Linked DNA regions of Schizosaccharomyces pombe. The main gene of each other region encodes a partner of the protein of the gene in region 3 in a complex. Each region holds a gene or a part of one and is shown on either strand. Other genes may lie near its edges.

Region 1 (3,480 bases), on a different chromosome or scaffold from region 3:
CCGTCCTCAGTTAACGGAGGATTTGTCATTTTAGAAGATTGCCAGTTTCATCAATGTGTTAGATTGCCGGAATTTGAAAATGAACACAGAATTACTTTCATTCCGCCGGATGGTGAGGTTGAATTAATGAGTTATCGTTCACATGAAAACATAAATATTCCTTTTAGAATTGTTCCTATTGTCGAACAGTTGTCGAAACAAAAAATTATTTATCGTATCAGTATACGAGCAGACTATCCACACAAACTTTCTTCTTCTTTGAACTTTCGGATACCGGTTCCCACAAATGTGGTAAAAGCTAATCCTCGTGTAAATCGAGGAAAGGCAGGGTACGAGCCCTCTGAAAATATTATCAATTGGAAAATTCCCCGGTTTTTAGGCGAAACTGAACTTATTTTTTACGCTGAGGTAGAGTTATCTAATACAACTAACCAGCAAATATGGGCGAAGCCTCCAATATCCTTAGATTTCAATATTCTTATGTTTACCAGCTCCGGTCTACATGTGCAATACTTAAGGGTCAGTGAACCTTCTAATAGCAAATACAAAAGTATTAAATGGGTAAGGTACTCAACTAGGGCTGGAACTTGCGAGATACGCATTTAAGAAGTATTGTGATACAAAATTATTATTTTATTAATTGACGACCGTGCTTTTCCGACATGAAAAGAATTTCCAAAATAGTTTTAGAACATTTCAAAATGAAACAAGTGGCGTTGAAAGTTTAATAGATGAAAGAAGAGAGGTTATAATGAATGCAATTAAACACCATACCGCTTCGATGAGGCATTTGAGGCTATAATTATGCTTTTGTAGGCATTAATGAATAGACGGAAACCAAAATAAAACATTACCTGGGAAATGAAAAAAATACTAATACTTTTTCTTTAAAAGTCTAGCGATTTTCTGTTGTGATTCGAGTATCTGCTTATCTTGTAACTTACTTAACTCTTCGTTCACCCGTTTCATGTCAACTTGTTCAAGGACCTTTGGATACCTGCTCAGGGTTTTCACATTAGAACCATCAGGAAGTAATTCACCCTCCTGCCAATCTTTCAAATCATTTGGGGCATTTGGGTAAACGAAAGGTTCTTCCATCTCAACGATGACGCGTTTTTCAGATTGTGGTCTCTTAACCTGTCCTAGTTGATTTCTAAAAAGTTTGCCCTGATAAATTCTTGACTTAACTGATACGACTTTTAAATTGTACACATGTTGCAAATAATCGCGAACATCAAACTTGTTAACATGAAGAGGTACGCGAAATACTGCAAATTTAGGTTGAAGATTTAGTCCTCTGCATAACGTGAACGTTATATTTGGAAAGTACACTAATCTTTTCCCAGCAATTTTACTCATATTTACTATTGAGTTTCAACTTCAAGGCTAAAGCAACTTGTGCTAGTTATGCAAAAAAAGAGAAACAAATGGTTTTTCTCAACAGTAGATTTCAAGATGAATTTGATGTCAACGGCCTTAGGTAAACGATTAGTTATTAACCATTTGTTGGATTACGGAGTTCAAATGTTGTTTAGTACTAACGTGCTGAGAATCCGGTTGCTTTATTGCATCAAAGCTCAGTTGTATACTATTAACAAATAACGTCTCTGGTTGTATTATCCTAGAACGTAATATATGTAAGCTACGCAATTTGGTATCTGATTTAAGGATACGTAGAACTGCGGTGAGTTTTCCTTGTGATCTATTATATTGTAATACGCAAGTAGTATAAGTAGGAATTGGATATAGGTATTCTAATATATAGGATATATCGTTATCTATAGCTGAGATATCTTATAACTGAACTGAGGAATCAAATTCAGTTGTTCTCAATTTATAACATTTGAAATAACAAGGATTATAACTGATAGTCATCTTATCATAAATGATATTATATCCTTCTAGATAACTTATCATGTAAAGCTGATAGAGCAAATAGAACATTATGAACATGTGACATATAGTGATACACAACGTAGTATATCGTAGCGTAGTGTAGTATTGCTGACATATAAAGCAGCTTATTTCAAGTTCGTTATAGTTTATTAAAATACGTTGGATTACTTATTTTTAATATAAAGAAACGCAGCAGAACAATTGAAATGAGAATGTTAAATCAAACTTAAGAAGGCCCTTTTGATAGTTGTTATTCATACGGTAAATTTTCTTGCCAGCGACACTAGAGAACTAAAAAATCAACAAAAGTGCAGCTCACTCGTCTTAAATGTCCGGATTCCAGACGTCCGACGAGGTCGATATATCAAATTCTTTAAAAGCTTTTCCTGTTGATATTGCTACTGATAATCAAAAAGATAAGCACGAAAATGTTGGTGAAAATGTGAGCGATGAAGATGATGGTAATTATATTGCCTCGAAGCTTTTGGAGTCTAACAGGAGGACGAAGGGAAAAAAGGGGAATGGAAAGGCTTCTAATTTCCAATCGATGGGTATGTTAACTTCGTGATTACTTGCCATAAGGTCACTTTGCATTATGCTTCAAGACACTGTAATCTAAATTACTTTGATATTTTTCTAACTTAATTATAGGATTGAATCAAACTTTACTTCGAGCAATATTTAAGAAGGGTTTTAAAGCTCCTACGCCGATTCAGCGCAAAACGATTCCCCTTTTATTGGAAGGTCGTGATGTTGTAGGTATGGCACGTACTGGATCAGGTAAAACTGCAGCTTTTGTTATACCTATGATTGAGCATTTGAAGTCCACTCTAGCAAACTCTAATACTCGCGCCTTAATTCTCTCGCCAAATCGAGAACTTGCTCTTCAGACTGTGAAAGTCGTCAAAGACTTTTCTAAAGGTACGGATCTTCGATCTGTCGCTATCGTCGGTGGCGTCAGTCTAGAGGAGCAATTTAGTTTGCTATCCGGAAAACCCGATATTGTGGTCGCAACTCCTGGAAGATTTCTACATTTAAAGGTGGAAATGAAATTGGAGTTGAGTTCAATCGAGTATGTCGTTTTCGATGAGGCCGATAGACTTTTTGAAATGGGTTTTGCTGCTCAATTGACAGAGATTTTACATGCTTTGCCGACTTCTCGTCAAACTCTTCTCTTCTCTGCCACACTTCCACGTACTCTTGTTGATTTTGCAAAGGCTGGACTTCAAGACCCGGTTCTTGTACGCCTTGATGTAGAATCCAAGGTTTCCGCGGATCTACAAAGTGCCTTTTTTTCTGTTAAAACCGCTGAACGCGAAGCTGCTCTCTTATGTATACTACAAGATATCATTAAGCTTCCTCTAAAAGATAACGTGCGCCCAAGAGAAATAGGAAATGTCAATAATCCGAAGAAAAGAAAACGTGCATTAGAATTAGCGCTTAAAGGAAGTGAATCTGGATCACCAGATTCTACTCTAGTATTTGTTCCTACAAAACATCATGTCGAGTATGTTTCTGAGTTACTTGTTCAAGCAGGATATTCGGTTTCAAAAATTTACGGGTCTTTGGACCAAGAAGCGCGTC
Region 2 (2,690 bases), 1.3 Mb from region 3:
GCCAGCTTGTTCAAGGAGGAGCCATCTTTTGCTGCTGGCGTCGTTGAAATGCCAGCAGGAGCAGAAAAACCAGTGAAGCCTTCGAAACACAACATAATGTCTTTTTGTATACTACAGGGAAAGATCGAGGTCACAGTAAATGCAACCACTTTTCGAATGAAAAAAGATGGAGTATTTATTGTTCCAAGGGGTAAGTTTAAATATACACATTTCTAAAAATTCAAACAGGAATTATACACCGAGAATGTGTTTTGACTAACATTGCTTTAGGGAATTATTACAGCATAAAAAATATCGGCAAAGAAGCTGTTCGACTTTATTATACCCATGCGACCGACACCTTGGAAAATAAAAGAAGGGGAATAGGGGATTTTCCAAACGAACGATGACAATACTAATAGTGTGTTATGGATTTCGATGTACAAAAGTCATTTAGTCGTTATGTAATTTAATTATCTGTTATCAATTTAATCATATTAATAAAGTCATTTTTTCTAAACTTATTTTTGCATCATTTCCTTAAATTTAAGCGTTTTACTGTAATCGTCAATTAATTCAGTTAGCCTACCAATATTCATTTTTGTCGGATCAACAGTCAACTTTTTTCCATCCTCTAAATAATAATTATTAGCAAAAGTCAAATCTAACGGTCGCAGTTAAACCATCTAGCTACTTAAAAGCCTTACTGTATACAACTTCAACAGATGGTTTTGAATTGGTATCCTTTGATGCAAGACTGGTAATGAGATTAAGTCCATAAAGAGAGTTGCTGGTTTCTTTACTGGCAACTGCTAGCAAAAGTTTCGCAGATTGACTAGCTTTGGAAAACGGGTTCACATTCAAAATTGACAATTTATTAATGTACCCAAATATCATGATTAAAAATTTTAACTGGAGAGTAAAGTCGTCAAGGAATGTAATTAAAAGAGATCTTTATGTGTAGATATTTTAAATACATTAAATGGTGGTAAGTTTTGTAAACGAAATGACATTTGGTAAGCTAGGTGACCGTTACCCTGATAGTCTCACTTCCTACAACAACTAAGTCAACTTGGAGATACAAACGAAACTAGTATGTCTCTATAATACAATTTGTCATTCCAATTTTATATAGAACCTCGGTTTCCGCTTGTGAAATATTTTTTCATGAACAATTGCAATTTTGATTTTATCCAACATGACTACCGATGTGAAGGCTAAAAACCCTGCGTCGATTTTCAGCCATGAAACCCTCCTTCACGTTCTTAATGATTTGTCTGCACATGACTTAGCTGCTTTAGAACGTGTATCTCGTAGTTGGAATTCAATTGTGCGCCGTTCATCGGTATGTTCTTCTTGACTTTTTAGTGATATAGTCGAATTTTCATGTTTTGAGAGACTGATTTCCATGTACTAACGACCTTCATACAGGTATGGCATAATTTATATCTCTCAGAATTTGGGACTAAGCATTTACGACGACATGGTCGCATTGAAAAAAAACGAAGGAATTGGAAAGGATTGTTTCGAAGGCAATCTAACTGGAAGGACGGACGTTGTAAAAAAGTAGAGTCTATGCTCCCTCAATTGCTTAATTCTGAAAAAAGCGTTGGAGAAGATCGTTTGGGGCTAACGCTTACACACCAAAATAATATTTATTTTTGTAATGACGTTCAAATATCAAAATGGAGCTCAGTTGGTAACAGTTTGAAATGCCAGGCTATTTCTTCTTTTAGAGATGAAACTGTCAAATCTGGTCCGGCTGTAATGTGTCTGGATAACGCCAGCCTTTATATTGGTTTAAAGGATGGTAACCTGCTACATGTAACGGTGCATGAGACAGGTTTCGGAAATATTGAAAACCTTGCAACATTCTCTACCAAATTTGTGGCATTATCATCGCATAAAAATTACATTTGTGGATTGACAAACGACAACAATTTATATATACTTCAGCATTCTCATCAAGCTGGAACCAAATTGAAAGTACTTGGTAAATATCATGTTTCAAGTATTGAAAAACAGGTTGCTATTCACTTTCAGCAATCAAAAGAAGGATATGAAGTTGTTCATGTAGTTTTTAATGATTATGTTCTATCTGGTGGATGGACCGTTAGTTTGCAAGAATTTGTTTTCAACGAATATTGCGTCAAAAGTAGTAGGCTTGCATTGCATGACAACAAAGACATTGAGTACTCTCAGCAACCTGCTTCTGCTATTTTTATGTATGGGTCCTATATTTTGACATCTCATCCGGACAATTCTTTAATTTTGCAGAGGCTTTATTCAACTAACAACGAATTACGGATAAAATTTTTAGGTCGTCTCTTAGGACACGTTTGTGGTGTTCAGATATCTAAACTATTTTCTTGTGGAAGAATTGTTTCTGTATCCAAAAACTGTGCCGATATTTGTGTTTGGGATCTTCATGATACAAATTATCAATCAATCGTATCTCCGCTAATGCTAACTTGCACAAACATCCACAATAAGCCCGTATCTGATTACGAAAAAGAATGTAAGGTTCAAGATATAGGACTGTATGAAGATACTATTTTGATAACCCTTTCCGACGGCAGAATATTAAAGTTTCTCTTTAATATTTAGAGAAAGGTTTCACTTTATCGTACATGATTGAATTCTAAATGATGAGTTTAACCATAGTTTTATAATTTTATTTATATTATTATTATTACTTAGATTGGATTATT
Region 3 (3,763 bases):
ATCTTCCCCCTTTTTAAGAAGGAGGATAGCTTCTTGCTCTCCAACGTTGAATCGTACAGGTTCAGCATTCTTACCTTCGTTGGCATGATAACGAGAAAGAAATGATATTTTTTGTTCAGAGAGTCGAACAAACTGGGTGAAAAGTATGTGAAGCGCGTAATCAACTGCCGTATGGTCCTGCTTCTCAGAATACAAAGGACCATTTTCGACAGGTTGATCGTGAGCAATTTCATTCAAGCTCATTCAGGTTGGCATTATATGGTTATCTACTAAATAGACGAACTTCAAAGAAAAGGAGTATGCAAAGTAAGGGTTTGAGAGCAATACCGCTAGCCTACAGAAAAGTGAAGAAAAAAGTGTATAAAAAAGCTATCTCGTTAGTTTTTATATTTAAGCATGCGTAAGCAAATTGACTAGCAATCGATTGTTAAAATTTAGGCGTGAATGGATTCAAAACTAGAAGTTTGTAATGGCTAGCACTCCGAACAATAAAACCTCTCAGCACACTGCAACAATTTTTGCACATAAAGGAATATAACGCACTGCGTTGTAGTAGGTGTGGTACTATATAGTAGGTGATATACTTAAAAGTCTAACTTCAAAATGCCCAAAATAATTTTTAAATGAAATGTAAAAAAAGAATAACCTTCTGTATGTTTGGTCAAAACTTTCTGAATTCTATGTCAGAAAAGATAATATGGTACAAGTTCAGTTTTTTTTAATGATTTTTAAACCGTGGCAAATGCGATTTTTACACGCTAACTTTTTGGAAACGAATTATAAATATTTGTTGAAAAAACTTGAAAGTTTAAGAACAACATATACAATGCTTAATTATCAAATTATTCGCGTGGAAAAAAATAGAAGCATAAATCAGTAGAAAAAGAAAGACATATACGCAAACTTGTATACGCCCAAGACAAAGTAACAAAATAAGTTATAAATTTAATCATGCATTCACATTTTTGAGCATTAGACAGTAATAAACTACGATGACCGTGACGGGAGTTTAAATAAATAATAAAAAGAAGAAAATGTTATTTCGTGCAACCTTAAGTTGAAGGAAATCCAAAGGCATTGATGCATGTAATTATTAGTATATCCTTTTGAAGTATCTCTAAATAGTGAGCATTGCAGGTATGATGATGAGAGTTTCCGCATGGTTTCATGAAACTTGAGCAGAATTAGCAGAAGTTATATACTTATTGACACGGCGAATTGTAGGTTCATCTTTGGGCCTTGGTAACGTTGTCTCTTTGTCAAAAACAACACCGACGTATTTCCTCCGTTTGCGAAGAGACACATCCATTTGAAAAAACTTAACATATCCGGAAACAAGAGAATATATTGTGTGATCTTTACCTAGACCGGTATTATCTCCGGGATGAAATTTTGTACCACGTTGTCGAATTAGGATCTCACCAGCCCTAACGAATTGGTTTTCAGACCTTTTTATGCCGAGACGACGACCAGCAGAATCACCTGTGTTTTTCGATGAACCACCGCCATGTTTAGTAGAAGTACGAATAGGAGGGAAAGTGAGAATATTTGATGCTTTCTTATAAGCTAAACTAGCTTTAAGTAATTGAAAATTGTTAACACGAATAAAAAGCCCTTGATTGATCATTGCACGGTGAACTTTGCATCAAATGAAGTACGTATTGTAAAAGAAAAATGTGTTAAACTGATTTGGCAAATAATTAGTAATGTAGAAGGATACTAAATATTAAAAAAATTATATCTTCGTCGAAATATTGGTTTATACTAAAAGGATGGATTCGTTGTAACCAATCTTCGAAAGTTTCTACCTTACATTTCCTTTATCCCAATTTACGAGTCGTGGTAATCGTATAAAATATTCTTATTTTACAATAGTGTAGCCTTACATTTTCTGTTTGAAATTCCTTACTCCTAATATCTCGCTAAAAGAGTACCATTACCTACAATTTACTTTGTTTATATTGGAAGCATGATCGCTAATGAAAAAAAAAGTAAAAGACACTAAATTTACGTCGACAATTTCTATCCTTCTTTTTAATCATGGAAAATTCACTTGGCTCTTCAATTCAAACAGCATTAATGACTGCATGAAAGAAATATAACTTTTTCAAAGTTTTAGCCTTTATTGTATTGTCTTTATTACTCAATGATATTCAATTTTACTTGAACTTTTAAAGTATGCAGCTGGAATCACATATAATAGATTTTTCTGTGCTACTAATTGATGTCTTAATGCAATTTCAACTGTTTTGTTCCTCAAAGCAAAAATTTATGAATAAAAACGGATGTGCTTCGTGTTACTAGTTGGTGGCAGGAACCAGCAAATTTCATTTTCTTGTGAAGAAACCATAAATTCTACCTTGACAGCGATATGCTTCAAGTTATACAGTATATGTGCTGCCTTAGTTCGCAGGATAATGTATCAGGATATTGTCAAGCTTTAACTGGATTTGATTATACTCGGAAACTTCCTTAGGTTAAAAACTTTTAAAATTGGCATAAAATCTTTTTCTCGTGGATCTTCCAGCCATAGCACGACAGGGAGTACTAATTAAAGTACGTTTTGCTTAGCTGTACCTACGTTAATGTCGATCTGAAGCTTTAAGCTACTACTTCCACCTAATACTGTCGTGTCGATCCCATAACGGTGTGTTATCGACGATAAATACATCAATGTACGCGTTTTTTATTTTATGTAATTTATTAGAATATTTTTTAAAAGTTGTAAAATTTTTTGGTATATATTTTTAAAACAGGGTGGTGTTGCATTTCTAAATATTTCTCCATGTATATTGATTATGCACTTTTCCGTTTTCCATGATATGCCAGCTTTTGTGGCACGAACATAATTCTATGGGATCAGGAAGAGAGAAGAAAATAAGAAAGCTAGGAGATAACTTTTCATTACCATATCTGAAATTTGATTGTGACCATAATGACAAAAATTATCGCGCGTCAAATAGGCCATTTGGACTTTCAACTGGACTGTCAGTGCAGTTGAATGCTTCGAACATGACTGATCCCTTTAAATTTTTGTTAGATAATTGGCATACAATTTTCAAAAATGGAGCAATTAAGCTTCTGCCACCTGAGGGATGGCAAATACCTGTTGTTCTTGATCAAGGCGCTTTTGAGTTTCAGTCAAAACGCCAATGTTTAAATAAAGGTTGTCTCAATTATGAAAAAAATTATGATTATTTTAAGAAACTTAAAGCATTTCATGAAAGTCGCGGTTTATATTTTTATCACCCACCGATTATCGGGAATCGCCCAGTTGATTTTTTGCGTTTGCGTAATGCAATCTCAAAGTTTACTAATTCCGGCTCTTCATTAAATAATGAAATTTTACATAAAGTCATAATCTATTTGCGTCTTGAAGATACTAAAGAAGTGAGGCAGGTTCTCACTCGTTGCTATGATCGATACATCAAACCATTTGAAAGGGATTCATCGCCATCATTCAAATCAAAAAGATCAGAGAGCTCAACTCGGAAAATTAGAAACACTCGTAGTTCAGCTCAGCAAGAATCCCCTATACCCGAAACTTCTGCTCAATCTCCTGTTCAAACCATCCAGGTCAACGGCTCTACGAGTTTGAAACGACCTCTTATTGAAAGAGGAGAGCAATGTGAGTATTGTGGCTTGGACAAGAATCCGGAAACCATTTTACTTTGTGATGGGTGTGAAGCGGCATATCATACTTCCTGTTTAGATCCCCCTTTAACGTCGATTCCTAAAGAGGATTGGTATTGCGACGCTTGCA

The links.
Region 1: mrp7 (region 3) and mrp20 share a complex: the UniProt entries of both Schizosaccharomyces pombe proteins name them as parts of the mitochondrial large ribosomal subunit.
Region 2: mrp7 (region 3) and mrpl44 share a complex: the UniProt entries of both Schizosaccharomyces pombe proteins name them as parts of the mitochondrial large ribosomal subunit.

The regions. Positions count from the first base shown.
Region 1 is NC_003424.3:400,939-404,418, reverse strand, and holds mrp20 (mitochondrial 54S ribosomal protein uL23m), read right to left. Parts: upstream 1,534-3,480; 5' UTR 1,360-1,533; coding exon 874-1,359; 3' UTR 607-873; downstream 1-606. Other genes in the region: AP-2 adaptor complex subunit Apm4, read left to right, coding at 1-606; ATP-dependent RNA helicase Dbp10, read left to right, coding at 2,225-2,447, 2,548-3,480. UniProt on the Schizosaccharomyces pombe protein: Component of the mitochondrial ribosome (mitoribosome), a dedicated translation machinery responsible for the synthesis of mitochondrial genome-encoded proteins, including at least some of the essential transmembrane subunits of the mitochondrial respiratory chain.
Region 2 is NC_003423.3:4,124,069-4,126,758, reverse strand, and holds mrpl44 (mitochondrial 54S ribosomal protein mL53), read right to left. Parts: upstream 877-2,690; coding exon 687-876; intron 614-686; coding exon 501-613; downstream 1-500. Other genes in the region: cnp3 (centromere protein), read left to right, coding at 1-190, 271-389; F-box protein Pof12, read left to right, coding at 1,178-1,324, 1,411-2,586. UniProt on the Schizosaccharomyces pombe protein: Component of the mitochondrial ribosome (mitoribosome), a dedicated translation machinery responsible for the synthesis of mitochondrial genome-encoded proteins, including at least some of the essential transmembrane subunits of the mitochondrial respiratory chain.
Region 3 is NC_003423.3:2,860,998-2,864,760, forward strand, and holds mrp7 (mitochondrial 54S ribosomal protein bL27m), read right to left. Parts: upstream 1,764-3,763; 5' UTR 1,628-1,763; coding exon 1,166-1,627; 3' UTR 482-1,165; downstream 1-481. Other genes in the region: morphogenesis protein Mor2, read right to left, coding at 1-243; Lid2 complex histone demethylase subunit Lid2, read left to right, coding at 2,818-3,763. UniProt on the Schizosaccharomyces pombe protein: Component of the mitochondrial ribosome (mitoribosome), a dedicated translation machinery responsible for the synthesis of mitochondrial genome-encoded proteins, including at least some of the essential transmembrane subunits of the mitochondrial respiratory chain.